2 linked regions of the Struthio camelus genome follow. The protein of the gene in region 1 interacts with the protein of each later gene in a pairwise test. Links are inferred from orthologs where the notes say so. Each region holds a gene or a part of one and is shown on either strand. Other genes may lie near its edges.

Region 1 (10,518 bases):
CCTGGGGGGTCTCGGTCTTTGGGGGGGCTCCTTTCCCGGGGGGAGGTCTCAGTCTTGGTGGACTCCTGTCCCGAGAGGACCCCTGTCCCAGGGGGGCTCTTGTCCTGGCAGGTCTCGGTCTTGGGGGGCTCCTGCCCCGGGGAGGGCTCCTGCCCCAGGGGGGCCCCTGTCCTGGGCGTTCTCAGTCCTGGGGGGGGGGGGCCTAGTCCTGGGGGGTCTCCTGTCCCAAAGGGGCTGTTACAAGGGGCTGAGGGAGGCGAGCGAGGGGGGGGGGCCGATCCTCTCCCGTTGCGCAGGTTGGGGAGGGGGCACAGGATCCCCCAGGGCCCCCCCCAATCCCATCCCGTCCCCCCCCACCCAGGCGTGAACCTGCAGCGCAGAGAGGCCACGAACTACACGAGCGCCGGGACGCTGAGCCGGGCCCAGGGCGTCTCCGCGCTGTGCTGGGGCGACGCCGCCGAGTCCGAGGTGAGGGGCCGGGGACGCCTGGGCCCGACGGCAGTGGCGGGGGCGGGGGGGGGGACACACATTGGGGACACCTGGGCCCTGACACCACCGCTGCCGCCCCCCAGGTGCTGGTGGGCTGCCTGGACCGGAGCGTGAAGCTCTTCAGCACCGAGAAGGGGAAATTCACAGAGACGCGGCTCTGCCCCGGCGGCGACGGCCCCTTCTGCGGCCTGGCGGTTCACGGCAGGTAGGAGCCGCCGCGGGGACGGAGGGGGGGGGACGGGGACGGTGGCTCGTGTGTCCCCTCCGCCGCCACCGCTCCCTTCCCGACGGCGGCTTCTCTCCCGTGCCGGCAGCGCCCTCATCACCTGCGTGGAGTCGGGGCTGCTCAAGGTGTGGGGCGACGGCGGCGGCGGCGACGTGAGTGCGGGGACGGCGGCGGTGAGGGGAAGAGGGGGACGGCGGCGGGGACGGCCGGGGCTGTCCCCGCCGCTCGGTGACGTCCCCGGCGGCCCCGGGCGCAGCTGGAGCTGCGGGCGGGCGCCGGGCTGTGCCGCATGCGCCAGGACCCGGCTCGACCCCAGCGCGTCGCCACCGGCGGCCGGGACAACGGCCTCAAGGTGTGGGACCTGCAGCGCCCGGGCGAGCCCGTCTTCCGCGCCAAGAACGTGAGTGTCACCCCCCGCCGTGTCCCTGAGTGTCCCCCCTGCGTCCCTGAGCGTCCCCGCGAGCGTCGGTGGTGGCCCTGCGCCCGCTGTGGCCCTGCCAGTCTCCCCCTGCCTCCCCATGAGTGTCCCTCCATGTCCCTGAGCGTCCCCGCGAGCGTCGGCGGTGGTCCTGCGCCCGCTGTGGCCCTGCCCCTGTCCCCCCGCATCCACACGAGTGACCCCTGTGTCCCTGAGTGTCCCCACGTCCCCGTGAGCATCGGTGGTGGCCCTGTGCCCGCTGTGGCCCTGCCCGTGTCCCCCTGCATCCCCATGAGTGTCCCCCCGCCTCCGCATGAGTGTCCCCCCCGTGTCCCTGAGCGTCCCCGCGAGCGTCGGCGGTGGCCGTGCGCCCGCTGTGGCCCTGCCCCTGTCCCCCTGCCTCCCCATGAACGTCCCCGAGTGTCCCCCCGTGACCCCGTGAGTTTCCCCATGTCCCTGCACATCCCCACGAGTGTCCCCCATGTCCCTGTGCATCCCGAGTGTCCCCCCATATCCCCATGAGCATCCCCCTGTGTCCCCTGTGTCCCTGCGTGTCCCCTGGAGTGTCCCCTGTGTCCCTGCCCATCCCCACGAGTGTCCCCCCACGTCCCCACGAGTGTCCTCCGCGTCCCTGCGTGTCCTCATGAGCGTCCCCCCCCATTTCCTCCCAAGTGCCCCCTCGGGCGTCCCCATGTCCCCATGAGCCTCGGGGGCGGCCGTGGGCCGATGTCCCTGCAAGTGTCCCCCCACAAACGTCCCCGCGAGTGTCCCGGCGTCCCTGCGAGCGTCGGGGGTGGCCACGCGCCGGCTGCAGCCCCCCGTGTGTCCCCCCGCGAACGTCCCCCCGCGAACGTCCCCCCGCAAACGTCCCCCCCGCGAACGTCCCCCTGCGCATGTCCCCCCGCGAATGTCCCCCCCCAAATGTCCCCCCACAAACGTCCCCCCCCCCCACTCACCGCCCCGCAGGTGAGGAACGACTGGCTCAACCTCCGCGTCCCCGTCTGGGACCGCGACCTCCAGTTCCTGCCCAGCTCCGACAAGATCGTGACGTGCACCGGGCACCACCAGGTCGGGGGGCACGGACCGGTTTTTGGGGGAAGGGGGGCCCTTTTGGGGTGGGGGGCGCTTTTGGGGGCCGGTTTGGGCCGGCGCCGGACCCTGCTGCCTCCCCAGGTGCGCGTCTACGACCCCAGCTCCCCGCAGCGGCGGCCCGTGCTGGAGACGACCTTCGGCGAGTACCCGCTGACCGCCCTCTCCCTCGCGCCGGGGGCCAAGTGAGTCCGGTTCGTGGCGGGGGGGGGGACGCCCGGACGCCTGGGCCCACCCTGACTGCTCTGCCCCGCAGCTCGGTGGTGGTGGGCAGCGCCCGGGGGGACGTGGCCGTGATCGACTTGCGCCAAGGTGAGGGGCGGCGGGGTGGCCCGGCGGTGGGGTGGTGGCCGGTGGCCCCCCCCTCACCCCAGCTGTCCCTGTTCCCCCCTCCCCGCCCAGGGCGGCTGCTGCAGTGCCTGAAGGGGGTCGCGGGCGGCGTGCGGGGTCTCCAGTGCCACCCCAGCCTGCCCCTCGTGGCCTCCTGCGGCCTCGACCGCTTCCTCTGCGTCCACCAGCTGGGCTGCAGGCGGCCGCGGCACAAGGTGGGGCTCCGCGCGCGCCTGTCCCCTCCGTCCCCCCCCCCCCGAAAACCCCGGCCCGGCCCTGAGCCCGTCCCCGTCCCCCCTCCAGGTCTACCTGAAGTCCCGGCTCACCTGCCTGCTGCTGAGCGGCCGCCAGGACTGGGAGGTGAGCGCCCGGCGCGGGGGACGCGGGCGAAACGGGGACGCCGGGGGGGGGGGACACGGGGGGGACGTGTTGAGGGACGTGGGACGCATTGGGGGGACTTGGGACACGGGGGACTTGGGGACACGGTGGGACATGGGGACATGTTGAGGGATGTGGGACGCATTGGGGGGACTTGGGACACGGGGGACTTGGGGACACGGGGGACTTGGGGACACGGTGGGACATGGGGACATGTTGAGGGATGTGGGACGCATTGGGGGGACTTGGGACACGGGGGACTTGGGGACACGGTGGGACATGGGGGGATGTGTTGAGGGACGTGGGACGCATTGGGGGGACATGGGGCATGGGGGGACATGGGGACACGGGGGGACATGGGGACATGGGATGTGTTGAGGGACGTGGGACACATTGGGGGGACATGGGGCATGGGGGACTTGGGACACAGGGGGACATGGGGACATGTTGAGGGACGTGGGACGCATTGGGGGGACATGGGACACAGGGGACTTGGGACACGGGGGGATATGGGGGGGACATGTTGAGGGACGTGGGACGCATTGGGGGGACATGGGGCATGGGGGACTTGGGACACAGGGGGACATGGGGACATGTTGAGGGACGTGGGACGCATTGGGGGGACATGGGACACAGGGGACTTGGGACACGGGGGGATATGGGGGGGACATGTTGAGGGACGTGGGACGCATTGGGGGGACATGGGGCATGGGGGACTTGGGACACAGGGGGACATGGGGACATGTTGAGGGACGTGGGACGCATTGGGGGGACATGGGACACGGGGGACTTGGGACACGGGGGACATGGGGACACGAGATGGGATGCATTGGGGGACATGGTGGGACACAGGACACATCGGGGGAGCAGGGGACATGGGAGAACACATTGGGGGACATGGGACATGGAGATGTGGGGGACACGAGACGCATTGGGACATGGGATATGTTGGGATGGGAGGACATGGGGGACACGGGACACAAGACACATTGGGGACTTGGGACACGGGGGACTTGGGACACATGGGGGACACAGGATGCATTGGGGGACATGTTGAAGGGACATGGGACATGGGGGACGTGTTGAGGGGGACATGGGATGCATTGAGGGGACATGGCACATGGCGGGACATGGCGGGACGCAGGACGTGGGGGGACATGTTGGGGGGACACAGGACACGGGTGACACAGGGGATGTGAGGGGACATTTTGGGGGACATGGGGACATGTTGGGGGGATACGCTGGGGGGACTCAGGACACGGGTGACACGGGGGATGTGAGGGGACATGGGGGACGTGGGGACATGTTGGGGGGACGGGGGGATGCAGGACACAGGGGACACGGGGGATGTGAGGGGACATTTTGGGGGACATGGGGGGACATTGGGGGGATACGCTGGGGGGACTCAGGACACGGGTGACACGGGGGATGTGAGGGGACACGGGGGGACGTGGGGACATGTTGGGGGGACGGGGGGATGCAGGACACAGGGGACACGGGGGGACGTGGGGACATGTCGGGGGGACATTGGGGACGCAGGACACGGGTGACACGGGAGATGTGAGGGGACACGGGGGACGTGGGGACATGGGACGACATTGGGGGGGAGATGGGGACATGTCAGGGGGACATTGGGGGGGCTCAGGACACGGGTGACACGGGGGATGTGAGGTGACACGGGGGGACGTGGGGACATGTTGGGACATTGGGGACTCAGGACACGGGTGACACGGGGGGAGGTGGGGACATGTCAGGGGGACACGACGGGTGACACAGGGGACATGGGGGGACGTGGGGACATGTCAGGGGGACATTGGGGACGCAGGACACGGGTGACACGGGAGATGTGAGGGGACACGGGGGGACATGGGGACATGTCAGGGGGACACGACGGGTGACACAGGGGACACGGGGGGACGTGGGGACATGTTGGGACGGGGGGACGCAGGACACGGGTGACACGGGGGATGTGAGGGGACACAGGGGGACGTGGGGACATGTCGGGGGGACATGGGGGACGCAGGACACGGGTGACACGGGGGATGTGAGGGGACACGGGGGGACATGGGGACATGTCAGGGGGACACGACGGGTGACACAGGGGACACGGGGGGACGTGGGGACATGTTGGGACGGGGGGACGCAGGACACGGGTGACACGGGGGATGTGAGGGGACACGGGGGGACGTGGGGACATGTCGGGGGGACATGGGGGACGCAGGACACGGGTGACACGGGGGATGTGAGGGGACACGGGGGGACATGGGGACATGTCAGGGGGACACGACGGGTGACACAGGGGACACGGGGGGACGTGGGGACATGTTGGGACGGGGGGACGCAGGACACGGGTGACACGGGGGATGTGAGGGGACACGGGGGGACGTGGGGACATGTCGGGGGGACATGGGGGACGCAGGACACGGGTGACACGGGGGATGTGAGGGGACACGGGGGGACATGGGGACATGTCAGGGGGACACGACGGGTGACACAGGGGACACGGGGGGACGTGGGGACATGTTGGGACGGGGGGACGCAGGACACGGGTGACACGGGGGATGTGAGGGGACACGGGGGGACGTGGGGACATGTCGGGGGGACATGGGGGACGCAGGACACGGGTGACACGGGGGATGTGAGGTGACACGGGGGGACGTGGGGACATGTCGGGGGGACACGGGGGACGCAGGACACGGGTGACACGGGGGGAAGTGGGGGGGCGGGTCCCCCTTGCCGCCCGTCACCCGCGGTCCCCGCCAGGCCCCGGCCCCGGCCCCGGCGGCGGCGGCGGAGGAGGAGGAGGAGGAGGCCGAGGCCGAGGCGCTCTGGGCCGCCATGGAGACGGTGCCGCCATCCAAGAAGCGGAAGGCGACGACGTGAGGCGCCGCCGCGGGGCCCCCCCGGCCCGTAACGGCCTCTTTCCCCGGCCCATAAAGGACTCTCGTGTCGCCCCTCGTGTCCCGCGTCCCCGATTTTGCGTGGGGGGGGTGTCCCGGGTGGGGGTGGTATCTCAGGTGGGCCCCACCCGCGCCCGCCGCCATCGCCCCTTTAAGGCGCGGGCGCCTGACGTCGCGCGCGCGGCGCCTGACGTCGCGCGGCGCGAGACGTGGCAGTGACGTCGGGCCGGGCCGGTGGGTGCCGGGCAGCAGCGCCGCGCGCTCGAGCCGCGGCCCGGTGAGCGCGGGGGGGGCGGGGCGGGGCCGCGAGCACTTCCGGGTCGGCCGCGCTCGTTGGGGGGGGGGGGGGGGGGGTCGCCCCGAGCCGTCGGTCCCTCGGACGCCTGGGCCCCTCCCGGGGGTTTGGGGGAGGGGCAGCGTGGTGCCGGACACCTGGGCCCCTCGGACGCCTGGGCCCCTCCTGGGGGTCGTGGGGGGGGGGTGGGGCAGTGGGCTGCAGGACACCTGGGTCCCTCGGACGCCTGGGCCCCTCCTGGGGGTCGTGGGGGGGGCAGTGGGCTGCAGGACACCTGGGTCCCTCGGGCGCCTGGGTCCCTCTAGGGTGTTAGTAGGGGTTGGGGGGGGCAGTGGGGTCCAGGACACCTGGGTCCTCGGGTGGGAGGGGGTGAGGGGGGGAACGGTGGCCTCGGACACCTGGGCCCCTCCCGGGGGTTGGGAGAGAAGCCCCACTCACCTGGGTCCCTCGGACACCTGGGCCCCTGCAGGGGGTTGTGAGGGGAACCCCCGGACGCCTGGGTCCCTCGGACGCCTGGGCCCCTGCAGGGGGTTGTGAGGGGAACCCCCGGACGCCTGGGTCCCTCGGACGCCTGGGCCCCTGCAGGGGGTTGTGAGGGGAACCCCCGGACGCCTGGGTCCCTCGGACGCCTGGGCCCCTGCAGGGGGTTGTGAGGGGAACCCCCGGACGCCTGGGTCCCTTGGACGCCTGGGCCCCTGCAGGGGGTTGTGAGGGGAACCCCCGGACGCCTGGGTCCCTCGGACGCCTGGGCCCCCCCAGGGTGTCAGCAGGGCTGGGAGAGGAGGGGAGCGAGGGCTCCCGGACACCTGGGTCCCCAGCGGACCGTAGGGGTGTGGGGAGGGTGAGGGGGGGTGTCCCCGGACGCCTGGGTCCCTCTCAGGGGAATTGGGGTGGGGGTGGGGGGGCAATGGGGTCCCGGACACCTGGGTCCCCCCCAAGGTGTTAGTGAAGGTTGGAGAAGGAGGAGAAGCAAGGGGCTCCCGGACGCCTGGGTCCCCGGGCCGCAGGAGGCCCCGGACGCCTGGGTCCCCAGCAGGTGTTGACGGAGGGGAGTGGGGGGGGGGGTCGCGGAGGTCCCCCCCCGGCAGCAGCGGGTGCCCCCCAGCTGACGCCCGGCCGGCGGCAGGTGATGAGCCCCGATGAACGCGCGGCGCCGCCACGGCTCTAGGAACACGGAGCAGGGCGTCTACCTGGGCCCCCCCCGGACGCAGGCGCTGCCCCCCGCCTCCGCCGCCGGCCCCCCCGTCACCGCCGCCGCCCCCCCCGCCGCCATGTCCTGCCGCGACCGCACCCAGGAGTTCCTCTCCGCCTGCAAGTCGCTGCAGAGCCGGCAGGTGAGTCCTAAAACGGAGAGGGGGGACGGGGGGGGGACACACGCTGCCCCCCCCACTCACCCCCCCCCCTTCCCCGCATCCGTCCCCCCCCCCCAAGAACGGGCTGCAGCCCAGCAGACCGGCGCTGAGCGCCGCGCGGCAGCGGAGCGAGTTCGCCGTCATGGCCAAGTGAGTGATGGCGGGGTGGGGAGGGGGTCGCGGTGAAGTTGGGGGGGGGCCCCCACGCGTGTGTCCCCCCCACACACACCATCCCCGGCTCTCACGGCGCCCCCGTCCCGCCGCAGGCGCATCGGCAAGGACCTGAGCAACACCTTCGCCAAGCTGGAGAAGCTGACGATCCGTGAGTGCGGCCGGGGGGGCGCAACGCGGGGTGGGGGGGGACACGACGGCGAAGACCCTCACCCCCCCGACCCCCCCCACCTTCTCTACCCCCCTCCGCCTCGCAGTGGCCAAGCGCAAGTCGCTCTTCGATGACAAAGCGGTGGAGATCGAGGAGCTCACCTACATCATCAAGCAGGTGGGGGCCGGGGGACGCGGCGGCGGGGACGGACGGACGGACGGACGCGCTGACGCCCCCCCCCTTCCCCCCCCCCGCCCCGCAGGACATCAACGGCCTCAACAAGCAGATCGCGCAGCTGCAGGACGTGGTGCGGGCCAAGGGCAGCCAGAGCGGGCGCCACGTGCGGACTCACTCCAACACGGTGGTGGTGTCGCTGCAGGTGCGATGGCGGCGGCGGCGGCGGCGATGGCGGCTCCCTCCGCCCCGCCGCTCACCCTGCCGCCCTTCCCCTCCGCAGTCCAAGCTGGCCTCCATGTCCAACGACTTCAAATCCGTGCTGGAAGTGAGGACGGAGGTAAGCGCTCGCCCCCGCGCCGTCGCCTTCCCCCCCGCCGCCGCCGCGCCGGCTCTCACCCCGCCATTGCCTCCCCCCAGAACCTGAAGCAGCAGCGCAGCCGCCGCGAGCACTTCTCCCGCGCCCCCGTCTCCGCTCTGCCCCTCGCCGCCGGCAACCTGGGTGAGCGCTCGCCGTGGCGGGGCCGGGGGGGGGGGACCCCGGAGGGATGGGGTGGTGGTGGGGGGGGACGTTCGGTGCGGGGCGGTCTCGGCCCCCCCGTCTCCGCGCTCAGGCCGCGCTCTGCCGCAGGCGGCTCCGCGGTGCTGCGGGAGGAGGCGCCGCGAGCCGCCGACGTCGCCATCGACATGGACGCGCGGAGCGGCCAGCAGCTGCAGCTCATCCACGAGCAGGTGGGGGGACGGGGGACGGGCGGCAGCGACGCCGGGGGCCGACCGCGCAGCCCCCCGACCCTCTCCCGCCCCGCAGGATTCGTACATCCAGAGCCGGGCCGACACCATGCAGAACATCGAGTCCACCATCGTCGAGCTGGGCTCCATCTTCCAGCAGCTGGCGCACATGGTGAAGGAGCAGGAGGAGACCATCCAGAGGTAGCGGCCCCCGTGTCCCCCCTCACCCCGCGCCGGGCTCCCCGCCCTCAGCGCCCGCCTCTGCCCCCAGGATCGACGCCAGCGTGGAGGACGCGCAGCTCAACGTGGAGGCCGCCCACGGCGAGATCCTCAAGTACTTCCAGTCCGTCACCTCCAACCGTTGGCTGATGGTCAAGATCTTCCTCGTCCTCATCGTCTTCTTCATCGTCTTCGTCGTGTTCCTGGCCTGAACCCCCCCCCCCCCCCCCATCATCCCCGTCTCCGCGGGCGGACTGTCGCGGCTCGGAGACGGAGGCTCGCGGCGGCCCCCGGCGCTCGGACTCGCCCGGGGGGCCGGGCTGGTTGGCCGCAGCCTGGACCGACGGTCTCGGGCGCCGCCGCTGCTGCCACGGCCCGCGCGCCCGGCTCCGGCGTCACCTCCTCGGCGCTCCGCTCCCCGCGGCCGGTGCTGCCCGGTCGTGGTGGCTGCTGCGCCGGTGCCCGCCGGGGCTCCCGGGCCGGGCCCTGATCCCCATTAAAGTTTTCGGTCCTTGGCGGCGCCGGCTCCCTCCTTCCGCGCTGGGACAGGAACCGCCGGCGCCGGGACTCGAACCGGCGACGCCTCCTCGCTCCCTCCTTCCCCGCCGGCGCCGGGACTCGAACCGGCGGCGCCGCGGTCGCGCTCCCTCCCTCCTTCCCCGCAGGGGGCGCCGGAGCGCGGGGGGGAGGAGGCGCATGCGCAGAAGGCGAGTGCGCTGGCGGCGGCGGCGCGAGGCGGAAGTGACGCAGCGGGGGGGGGCGTGGCGTGCGCGGCGGCGGCGGGGCCGCGGTCGGTTGCCGGGGGCGCGCGGCGGCGATGGCGGAGGAGGCCAAGGGGGGGTACAGCGGTGAGCGGGGGGAGGCCCTGGGCCTGGTCGGTAGCCGGAGTGGGGCGGGGAGGGGGTTCGGGGCCCGGTCGGTACCGGGAGCGGGGAGGGGCCCTGGGCCTGGTCGGTACCCGGAGTGCGGCGGGGAGGGGGCTCGGGGCCCGGTCGGTACCGGGAGAGCGGCGGGGAGGGGGTTCTGGGCCCGGTCGGTACCGGGAGCGCGCGGGGAGGGAGTTTGGGGCCCGGTCGGTACCGGGAGCGCGCGGGGAGGGGGGTTCTGGGCCCGGTCGGTACCGGGAGCGCGCGGGGAGGGGGTCCGGGGCCCGGTCGGTACCGGGAGCGCGCGGGGAGGGGGGGTTCTGGGCCCGGTCGGTACCGGGAGCGCGCGGGGAGGGGGGGTTCTGGGCCCGGTCGGTATCGGGAGCGCGCGGGGAGGGGGGTTCTGGGCCCGGTCGGTACCGGGAGCGCGCGGGGAGGGGGGTTCTGGGCCCGGTCGGTACCGGGAGCGCGCGGGGAGGGGGTCCGGGGCCCGGTCGGTACCGGGAGCGCGTGGGGAGGGAGTTTGGGGTCTGGTCGGGACCGGGAGAACGGTGGGGAGTGGGCGGTTCGGGGTCCAGTCGATACCGGGAGCAGGAGAGGGTCCTGGGCCTGGTCAGTACCGGGAGCGGAGCAGGGTTGGGGGGGGCTCTGGGCTTGATCGGTACCGGGAGCAGAGGGGGCTCCAGGCCCAGTCGGCGCCGGGAACAGGGGGGATCCTGGGCCCAGGCGGT
Region 2 (10,459 bases), on another chromosome or scaffold:
ACCTTGCTTTGTCGGCTCCAAATCTGGCTCCTCCTGGCCCCGTCTGGTGCTCCCTATTCTTGAACCGGAAGAGAGAGCGAGCAGTCACTCCCCATCCACTGTCTGCAACTTGCTCTTCGGACTCCATAGGCTTCATCACCATCCCTCCTTTCAGACTAAAGAGCCCTCCCTTACTCAGCCATTCCCTGTCCAGGGCCACCTCGTACATTCAGTCAGTCCCCTTTAGTAGCCTCCCAGTCTCCTCTTGTGGGTGTTTTACTCTTCCGCTGCCATGCCAGGCACAGCTGCTGGTTTAGACAAGTTGATTTCCTGCTCCGCTCTCGGGCCTTCCACTGCACCCTCCAAATTGGTGCTGCTAGCATTCCCCAGCCTCTCCTCACCCCTGGAGATCCTGCTCACCAGCTTCCAGTGCTCACTGCAGACTGCAAGGAGGCAGGTTACCTCTTGCAGTTGCCCCTCACTTCTCTCGTAGGGGAAAGCTCGCCCCATCCCCTTTCGCGTTCACAGCCTATTCCCTGCAATTGGATCTAGAAATGGTTCTTCTGCCATTGTTTGTTCCATGGCTCATTTCAGACTCTCAGCACAACGGCGAGAGTCACTTGCAGCGTCCCCAACGCCCATTACAGTCCCCACGTGGTGGGCACTGAGTGACCCTGGGCATGCACTGGCAAGATGCGGGTGTGGTGGGAGCATTAAAGTGCTGCCCTGCAAGCAATCACAGGTGGGTGAGACGCGCAGTGCAGTGGGCTGAACACTAGTCTCCCCAGTACCTGGTAGTAATAGTCATCCAGGTAGGGATCAGTGCTCTGCAGCTGCATCATCTGGATCTTGGACACCCAGTCCTTCTCCCGCTGCAGCATGAGGTTGGCGTAGGGGTCTTTGCGCATCTGCTCCTGGTGGCTGCTCCGGTGGCCCCCTCGGTCCCCTACTGAGCCGTTGAGGCTCCGGTGCTGGCTGGCAGGAGGCAAGAAGGGCACCCGTGAGCACACAGGAGCTACAGGAAGGGACAGAGAGCAGTGCACAGGCTAGCCCCGGCAGCACAAACCCCCCCAGAAGAGGGTCATGCAAACCCTCCCCAGTGCCAGCCGGTCCCTTCCCCCGGCCATCCCTCCCTGCTCCTTGCGTGGGGCAAACACTCACTTCCGGTTCTGCTGCTGCCGCTGGTGCAGGAGGCGGCGATGCTGGGGGTGAAGGTGGGTCGTGTCTGGCCGGAACATCTGCGGCTGCGGCCTGAGGAGAGCGAGAGGTTGCAGAGGCGGCAGGGACCCCTGGAGAGCCCAGCCTCAGCTAAACACACGGCCAGAAAAGGCACAGGACCTACCTCAGGCTCTGCAGGTGGGATCCAGGGCCCGGTGGGTGCTGTGGCTGGGATGGAGGTGGAGCAGGGGGAGCCCCGAAGAAGGCACGAAACCCGCTGGCCGGAGACATCATCTGCCCAACTCTGCCCTGGAGCAGCTTGGGATTCACAGAGGGAAGGGGACTCCCAACAAGGCTGGAGACCCGGGCAAACTGGCTGGGAGACATTCGGCCAGCCTGGAGGGGCAGAAAGAATACCTCAGAGTCAGCTAGGGAGAAATTCAGGGCCAAGGAAAAGGGTCCAGCCAGGGTGGCCACTTCTGCCTGGGACAGCCACGAAGGACAGCTGTAAAGCCAGCCCTGATGGCCATGCCAAGGGCTGAAGAGAAATGTAGGGCCCCCAAGCCCTGCCCAGGGAATTGCAGGAAGGGACAGCTGAAGGGGTAGGAAGTGGGGCTTTACCTGGGCTCCTCCAAGCAGCTGTGCTCTCTGCAGGTGGGTGAGGACAGGAGAGACACTGTGGGGGAACGGGTGGCCCAAAAGGGAGGAATTCTGGTGAAAGAGAACAGAAAGAGGACTCTGGTCACAGCCCTCCCAGGCAGGACAACCCAGCGGACAGACGTGGAATGGAGGAGGGCACAAGACCAAGCCCCGTGAGAGTGCCCCAGGCAGGCTGGGAGCCAGGCCAGGCTCCAAAGAGCAGAGTTAACTCTGCCCAGGGCACGGCACGTTGGGGCAGACGGGCCAAGCTAGGGAAGACAAGACAAAGCAGTTTGCTGTCTGCACACATGCAGAGTCCAGTGATCTGAGAAAGCAGCTTATCTGCACAACAGGGCCTGGATTTACACGTGGGAGCCGAAAAGGAACAGGGGAACAGGGTGGTCACGATTTCACGGGAGGTTGGAGGACCTCAGAGCGATGTGGGCCTTGAAGGCAGCACCCACGGAAAGGGGTCAAGAGGAGACTTGGTACCGGCACGTTGCAGAGCTGATTGGGGGACATCCTCTCGCCGTAGGGAGCAGGGTAACGCTGCTGCATGGTGGCCCGGATGTGAACAGGCTTTGGACATAGAATCTGAGGGCAGGAAAGCAATACAATTCAGCAGTCAGTCCGCTGCTGAAACCATCTGAGCCACCAGCCTGGAGAGTGGAGCTGAAAGCAAGTACCTGCTGGTTGAAGTTGGGCACAGCAGCCTGCTTGGGAGGGGTGCCAATGGGGATGGCCCGGACTGGGGGACTCCCGATGACCGGGGATGACGAACGCCGGGGCAGCGCCCGCTCTGAGGGGTCCCGCTCTTCCTCTCGGGCCTGTGGGGGTCTCTGAGGCAGAGCATAGTCCAGCACGGACACCGAAGGCATCTCCTGCAAGCAGAAGGGGAGAGAAACCTCCCCCCAGGATAGCAGTCACTTACTGGGACTGGGCAGACGACCACCACACGTCCCAGAGATATTCCTGCCTGGCTAAGCAGTGAGGGAGACAACAGCTAGAGGCCCTCAGCCTCCACGGAGATATGGCACTCGCAGCACAAAGCAATGCTCTGAACTGCCCACCCGCAGAGCCAGTCACTGCCCCATCAGTCCTCCTACGCAGTCTCTTCCACACCCCACTCCATTTCCCTGGGCACTCGGCAGCCCCACATGACGGCCAGGGATCCCTGGGAAATCCCCGGGCCTGTCCAGCAGATCTCACATCACTGCCAGGATGCCTGTCTGCAGTGACAGCGCTGCCTGGGCACAGCGCGTGAATGCTCCATATTGCCGCTGCACAGCCCTCGTGCATGCACATACAGGCTGGGTTTCCACCCTCACTCACCCTGCAGAGCTGGGAGACAGGCTGGATGCGCAGCGCACTCCACTTGCGCTTTAAAGCCTGATTATTAATTAAGCCGCAACAAACAAAACCCTCTGCCTTGAGGCGCCAATATTCCCAGACCTCACAGGAGCACTGACATCTCTCAGACAGAACAGTTACTTGGGATAACATACTGGCAATAAACCACCCTAGCGTGGCTCTCCAGCCGCAGAGGGAATCAGGAGGGCAGGGGAGATTTCTGAGAGGCATCTATAAATGAACTGAAACACCTTGATCTGGACCCAGCAAGAAGCAAGCAAAGTGCACTGCTTTGCTAGGCTGTTCTGGAGGTGCTTCCCAGCACTGACAAACCTTTTGCAGTATAGCAAGTCTCACCCTTTAGGGCCCAGCTGCCTGACACAGGGCTCAGGGAGAAATCACAAGGGATGTTAGGGAAGTCTCTGCTTCCTCTTTCAGGAGAGGCTCCAGCTCAGTGGGATGGACCAGCGACTCAGCACGAGATCTAGGACGGGCAAACCGCAAGTGCCCAAGCGCATCCACACCATTTCTGCTCTGGGTAGGGTGAGCTAGGATAGGGAGAGCATCTCCCCTCCTCCCCCAGAGAGGTCACAGTTGAGCGCTGGCACATCAGCACCGCAGCATCGTACCTGAGTGAGAAGCGGCCCTCGGATACGCCGCAGGACAGCCGAGCCATCCCAGATGCTGGAGTTCAGCCCTCCTGGCTGCTGGAAAGCAGACGTGGGAGTCAGCACCATGGAGGCCGCCAGGCCTGCCCCCAGCCCAGCCCTCCAGCCTGCTCCCACCTGGGCAGGGGCCCTGGTTTGCACTGCCTGCATGATGGCGGGGTCTTCCAGCTCACTGTCGATGACCAGCCTAGTCAGCCTCTCCGCCAGGGTGTCCTCATGGTCGCCCAGCAGGTCTGCGTCATCACCACCCGGTCCATCCTGCTCCCCAGCCGCCGCGGGCTTGTCTTCCAGCTCTGCCAGCCGCTCGTGCGCCTCCTGCCAGTCGTCGTCTGCGTGGGATTCGCAGTGAGGCAGTGAGGAGGGCAAGCCTGCTCCGCATGCCGGCATCGTAGCTCCCCCACCGCAGGCTGAGCCGCGAGCGATGCGCTCACCAGGGCAGAGACAGGATGGGCAAGGATGGAGGGCCCAGCCCTGAGGGTGGGGGGGCAGCAGGGGCTGCGGAGATTTCACACCAGGCACCGCAGTGGTGAGGGAATAAGGGGGAAAGCGAGCACTCACCAACAGCCCCAGCTCCAAACGTGTCATCGTTGAACTGGTCGATATCTTCATCTTCCTCGCCCAGGGCCTGGAAGGCGTCTTCATCTTCATCCAGTGGGCAGTCCTCCAGGGACTGAGGAGAGCAGGGGATGAGCACGCGACTCAGGGCCGCTTGCTGGCTGCTAACACACTTTGCCAGACCTCCTCTTCCCTTATTCATCTCGCATCCCTCATTCCTGCTGTCATCCTTTACCCCTCTTTAGGAGCCCCCTAACCCCGCCTCAGCCCCACCAAAAGACTTCCAGCATCTTCGCCCCCTGCCCTAAGTTTCCTGCTCTGCCTCGGTCCCTCACCTTCCCCCCGAGCGGCTCTAACCCTCTCTGACTAGCAGAGGGGGCGGCCGCCAGGAGACCAGAGCTGGCAGCGCAGAGCAGAACTCATCCTTGTCCACGCCAGACCTCACGCAAGCAGGTGCCACCACACAGCCCCAGAGGAGCGCTCCCTGCCGACCGTCTCCCCCAGCCGGGGCAGGGGATCCCTGCTCTGCCTCCACAGAGAGAGCCCCCTGCCCCCTGCCACAATCCTCCTTGTGCCCCGCGGCCGCACATGCACGGGGTGCGCAGAGACCTGCCCCACGGGAGCCTGCAGCCCGCCCCGGCTGCCATCTCCCCCGGGTCCCCTGTCTGGTGCCCCACAGGCCCCGTCTCCCCTCAAGCCCTCCACAACATGCCCCCACAGGACCCCTCTCCCCCAAAGCCCCCCGCCAGGCGCCCCACAGGCCCCCTCTCCTCCCTGGGCCCCCGCCACGTGCCCCCACAGGATCCCTCTCCCCCAGAGCCCCCCGCCAGGCGCCCCCACGGGCTCCCTCTCCCCCAGAGCCCCCCGCCAGGCGCCCCCACAGGCCCCATGTTCCCTGAGCCCCCCGCCACGTGCCCCGCAGGCCCCGTCTCTCCCCAGCGCCCCCCGCCAGGCGCCCCCACAGGCCCCGTCTCCCCCAGGCGCTCCCACAGGCCCCGTTACCCCCCCGGCCTCTCCCTGCCCCAGCCCCCGCCGCCCCCCCCTCACCTGGTACCGGAACATGGCGGCGGCGGCGGCGCCCCCCGCCCCGCAGGCTCCGCGCGGCCCGCTCCGGCCCCGCGCCCCGCCGCGCATGCGCCGCCGCGGGCGCACGCGCATGACGTCACCCCCGCCCTCCACCGGCCGCCGGGGTGCCGACGGGGGGGGGGGGGGAAGCGCGCCGTGCTCATGCGCAATGGGTAGGGCGCGGAGGATCCGGCAGGGGGCCGAGCGCCAGGCGGGGGGCGGAGCACCCGGGTGCGTGAGCCCCGCCCCCTCCCCGCCTTAAAGTAGCAGAGTCGCGATGGGTTCTTCTTAAAGGGCCAGCGGCCCCTTTTCTCCGCGGGGGCTGCTCTGCGCCTGGGGGTCTCCGCGGAGCCCGAGCTTTCCCCCCTCCCAGAGGGGCCGAGCAGAGCAGCGGGCACACGCCCGTGGGCACCCCCTCGCACGCAGCCGCGCGCGCGCGCGCGTGCACACGCGTGTACATGCGTGCACAGACGGCCACACGCGTGCGCTCCCATCCCCGTGGCGTTGGGACAGGGCTGTGCCCGCCGGCCCTGGGGCAGCGCCGGCTCCTGGGCCCCGGCCTGGTGCCAGCCGCCTCCCCCCCAGCCGTGTCCCCCCCCGCCATGGGCGCCGGGAGGGCGCCCGCCCCGTCGGGGCTCGGCGGTGGCCGCCCCGTCGCCTGTCCTGGCAGCCGTGGCCGCGGGTGGCTCCACCTCGTCCCTCCCCCGGCGCCTCCTGCCTCCCTCCCGTGGCCGGGGATTAGCGGAGGGACCGCCCGGGCGGGGACGGCGCCGGGCCACCCGCGCCTCGCCTGCATGTAGGCGGCCGAGGAGCAGCCCCGCTGCCCCCGGCCCCCCCGGGCCCCCCGGCCCCGGCACCATGAAGGACCGGCTGGAGCAGCTCAAGGCGGTGAGCGGCCCCGCGGCGGCCCCGGGGGACCCACGGGGCCACCGGGGCGTCACGGGGGGGATCGCCGGGACCGGCCCCACGGGGCACCGGGGGGTCACGGGGGGATTGCTGGGACCGGCCCCACGGGGACACCGGGAGGTCATGGGGGGGATCGCCGGGACCGGCCCCAGGGGACACCGGGGGGTCACGGGGGGGATCGCCGGGATCGCCCCCACGGGGTACCGGGGGGTCACGGGGGGATCGCCGGGACCGGCCCCAGGGGACACCGGGGGGTCACGGGGGGGATCGCCGGGATCGCCCCCACGGGGCACCGGGGGGTCACGGGGGGATCGCCGGGATCGGCCCCACGGGGCACCGGGGGGTCACGGGGGGATTGCTGGGACCGGCCCCACGGGGACACCGGGGGGTCATGGGGGGGATCGCCGGGACCGGCCCCAGGGGACACCGGAGGGTCACGGGGGGGATCGCCGGGATCGGCCCCACGGGGTACCGGGGGGTCACGGGGGGATAGCTGGGACCGGCCCCAGGGGACATTGGGGGGTCACGGGGGGGATCGCCGGGATCGGCCCCAGGGGACATCAGGGGGTCGGGGGGGATTGCCAGGATCGGCCCCACGGGGTACCGGGGGGTCACGGGAGGATCGCCGAGACCGGCCCCAGGGGACATCGGGGGGTCATGGGGGGGATCGCCGGGATCGGCCCCAGGGGACACCGGGGGGTCACGGGAGGATCGCCGGGACCAGCCCCACGGGGTACCGGGGGGTCACGGGAGGATCGCCGAGACAGGCCCCACGGGGCACCGGGGTGTCACGGGGGGGATCGCTGGGATCGGCCCCACGGGGTACCGGGGGGTCACGGGAGGATCGCCGAGACCGGCCCCAGGGGACACTGGGGTGTCATGGGGGGGATAGCTGGGACCAGCCCCACGGGCCACCGGGGTGTCATGGGGAGATCCCTGGGACTGGCCCCACGGGGCACTGGGGAGTCCTGGGAATGGTGACCAGCAGCGCATTGCCCCACATCACCCAGGACATGGGGTGCTGCGGCAGGACCCCCCACGCGGGATGTGTGGGGCTGGGGGGTGCCCTGCTGCACCTTGTCCCCTGGGACATGGGGTGCGGTGGTGGGACCCCACCTGGGACGTGTGGGGCTGGGGGTTTCCGGGCTGGGTGCCTTCCCCCCGAGAGGCCGTGCAGCTGTGGGGCACGTGAGGGGCTAGGAGCGGATGTGGGTCAGCCGGGGCCACGCAGCCCCGCGTCTCCGGCGGTTACTTCCTCCTCCTCTGCGCTCTTCCTCAGCGGCCCCACTGCAGGGTGCCGAGCCCGGGGTGCAGCGCGGGGCCGGGGGCAGCCGGGAGCCTTGGCAGGGACTTAGCGGGGATTACAGAGCCGTCAGCCGCGGGGAGAGGGGATAAAACGCTCGGGAGGGAGAGAAGGGATTAATTTTATTTTTATTCCCGTGGGAGGAGCAGGGGTGGGGGATGGAGGGCAGGGCGCAGCCAGGCGGCCCCCGGCTCGGGGCTCCCAGCCGCGCGCGGGGCCGAGGCGCCAGCTCAGGGGCCGGGCCCGGCCGTGAGCCCCCGGCCCGGGGGGCACCGAGCCGAGCCGCGGCGGCCGTGCGAGCCGGCTCCCCTGCGCGAGCCGGAGGCGCAACGCCAGGGTGACAGCCGCTCCTGGCGGTCCCGGGGAGGCTGCCGAGCCGAGCCGCCGCCGGCCATGGGACGGGCAGCTGGGCCGGAGGGTCCGGCGGGGGCCCGAGCGGCGGCCCGGCAGGGCTGTGTGGGCACGCGAGAGGCAGCTGCCGCCCGCCGGTGCCTGTCCCCGTCCCATCCCCATCCAGCGAGCCCTTAATACGCTGCCGCCGGCCAGCTGTGAGATTAGCCCCGCTCCTCCCTGCGCAGATGGCACAGCAGCCTCTGCCCGGCTTAACCCCTGCCCCGCCAGCCCCGGCCCCAAAACCCTGCGGCGCTCCTGGCCGGGGGGTCCCCTCCGGGCCCTGGCTGGCCCTGCGGCGCCCGTCCCCGCCGGGGCCGGAGGGGACAGGGGCTGGCGCGGCGCCCGTAGCCCCCTTCCCGCCTGCCTTGGGTGGCCGCCCCCACGCCGGGGCGCTCGGCCTCCAGAGGGGACCGGCGCCAGCACGGCGCTGAGCCCCGGGTGGGTGCAGGCTGAGCGCCGCCTCGCCGCCTCCCGCAGAAGCAGGACGCCGACGATGACGCCGAGGAGCTGGAGATCGCCATCGACAACACGGCCTTCATGGACGAGTTCTTCTCCGAGGTGAGCGGGGCGGCCAGGCCGGGGGGCCGGCAGGGGGCCGCCGGCTCCGGCCTAACGCCCACCCGGCTTGGCCAGATCGAGGAGACCCGGCAAAACATCGACAAGATCGCGGAGAACGTGGAGGAGGCCAAGAAGCTCTACAGCATCATCCTCTCAGCCCCCATCCCCGAGCAGAGTAAGGTGCCCCGTCCCGGGGCTGTGGGTCCCCTTGGCGGGGACGGGCGCGGGGGTCCCCTTCGCGGGCCGCCCCGGCTCAGCTGCCCGTGCCCCCCGCAGAGACCAAAGACGACCTGGAGCAGCTCACGGCCGAGATCAAGAAAATGGCCAACAGCGTCCGGAACAAGCTGAAGAGTGAGTGGCGACGTGCCTGCCGCCGTGCCGCGGGGCCGAGCAGGGTGGCCGGGGGTCCCGCGGGTGCCGGGGTGGCGCAGGGCGCCCTGACAGGCTGGGGTCTCCGCTCTGGCCAGGCATGGAGAGGAACATCGAGCAGGACGAGGCGCGCTCGTCGGCCGACCTCCGCATACGCAAGTCCCAGGTGAGGCTCCGGGATGCGGCCCCAGGACCCCGCTGCCCGGGCGGGGGGTGGGGGGCAGCCCCCCCCACCGCGTCCGGGGCGTCCCCGCCGCTCACGCCCCCGTCCCCTTCCCCAGCACTCGGTCCTGTCCCGGAAGTTCGTCGACGTCATGACCAAGTACAACGAGGCGCAGGTCGACTTCCGGGAGCGCAGCAAGGGCCGGATCCAGCGCCAGCTGGAGATCAGTGCGTCCCCCCACCCAGCCCCCTGCCCGCTGGACCCCTGCAGGCCCCGCCCCTTTCATGGAGTGGGCAGGGCTTCACCAGATGGGTGGAGCCAGAGCCATTCAGGCCCCTCCCCTGTTGGCTGAGGCGGGGCTTCTCCAGTAGGCCCCTCCCCCCGGGGGGCCCCCCCGCCATGACCCTCGGTGCCCCACAGCCGGCAAGAACACGACGGATGAGGAGCTGGAGGAGATGCTGGAGAGCGGGAACCCCTCCATCTTCACCTCGGGGGTGAGGGCGCAGGGGGTGCCGCGGGGGGGGGGGGGGAGAGGGCGCAGTGTCCCGCCGGCAGCAGGGACCCCCCCGCTGATGTCCCCCCCGCCCCGGCCCCGGCTCTGTCGCAGATCATGGACTCGCAGATCTCGAAGCAGGCACTGAGCGAGATCGAGGGGCGGCACAAGGACATCGTGCGGCTGGAGAGCAGCATCAAGGAGCTGCACGATATGTTCGTCGACATCGCCATGCTGGTGGAGAACCAGGTGTGGGCCGTGGTGCGGGGCCCCGCACGCGGGCTGCCTGGGGACCTGTGCATGGGGCCACCTGGAGACCTCTGCATGGGGACCTGTGCATGAGGCCGTATGGGGACCTGTGCATGGGGACCTGTGCACAAGGCCACCCGGGGACCTGTGCATGAGGCTGTATAGGGACCTGCGCATGGGGACCTGTGCCTGGAGCTGCCTGGGACCTGTGCATGGGGCCATCTGGAAACATGTGCATGGGGACCTGTGCATGAGGCCATATGGGGACCTGTGCCAGGGGCCACCCGGGAACATGCACATGGGGACCTGTGCATGGGGCCATATGGAGACCTGTGCCTGGAGCTGCATGGGGACCTGTGCATGGGGCCACCTGGAAACATGTGCATGGGGACCTGTGCATGAGGCCATATGGGGACCTGTGCATGGAGCTGCATGGGGACCGGTGCATGGGGCCACCTGGGGGCCTGTGCGTGGGGACCTGTGCATGGAGCTGCATGGGGACCGGTGCATGGGGCCACCCGGGGGCCTGTGCATGGGGACCTGTGCATGGAGCTGCATGGGGACCGGTGCATGGGGCCACCTGGGGGCCTGTGCATGGGGACCTGTGCATG

What was found.
Region 2: the proteins of STX5 (region 1) and STX3 interact in binary tests that used the Homo sapiens proteins (3 or more experiments, as listed by UniProt). The link is inferred for Struthio camelus from reciprocal best matches to the Homo sapiens genes STX5 and STX3.

What each region holds. Positions count from the first base shown.
Region 1 is NC_090976.1:559,843-570,360, forward strand, and holds STX5 (syntaxin-5), read left to right. Parts: upstream 1-6,011; 5' UTR 6,012-6,107; intron 6,108-7,251; 5' UTR 7,252-7,264; coding exon 7,265-7,459; intron 7,460-7,556; coding exon 7,557-7,627; intron 7,628-7,743; coding exon 7,744-7,799; intron 7,800-7,905; coding exon 7,906-7,976; intron 7,977-8,061; coding exon 8,062-8,178; intron 8,179-8,256; coding exon 8,257-8,313; intron 8,314-8,393; coding exon 8,394-8,475; intron 8,476-8,604; coding exon 8,605-8,705; intron 8,706-8,781; coding exon 8,782-8,903; intron 8,904-8,973; coding exon 8,974-9,133; 3' UTR 9,134-9,134; downstream 9,135-10,518. Other genes in the region: speckle targeted PIP5K1A-regulated poly(A) polymerase-like, read left to right, coding at 972-1,115, 2,100-2,201, 2,307-2,407, 2,479-2,534, 2,625-2,767, 2,856-2,912, 5,694-5,813; NXF1 (nuclear RNA export factor 1), read left to right, coding at 9,739-9,769. UniProt on the Homo sapiens protein: Mediates endoplasmic reticulum to Golgi transport.
Region 2 is NC_090946.1:3,778,965-3,789,423, forward strand, and holds the start of STX3 (syntaxin-3), read left to right. Parts: upstream 1-6,127; 5' UTR 6,128-6,272; coding exon 6,273-6,302; intron 6,303-8,493; coding exon 8,494-8,574; intron 8,575-8,649; coding exon 8,650-8,749; intron 8,750-8,850; coding exon 8,851-8,925; intron 8,926-9,041; coding exon 9,042-9,109; intron 9,110-9,224; coding exon 9,225-9,333; intron 9,334-9,526; coding exon 9,527-9,600; intron 9,601-9,713; coding exon 9,714-9,848; intron 9,849-10,459. Other genes in the region: PATL1 (protein PAT1 homolog 1), read right to left, coding at 771-954, 1,141-1,230, 1,322-1,533, 1,759-1,848, 2,269-2,370, 2,463-2,657, 3,756-3,830, 3,912-4,123 and 2 more. UniProt on the Homo sapiens protein: Potentially involved in docking of synaptic vesicles at presynaptic active zones. Apical receptor involved in membrane fusion of apical vesicles.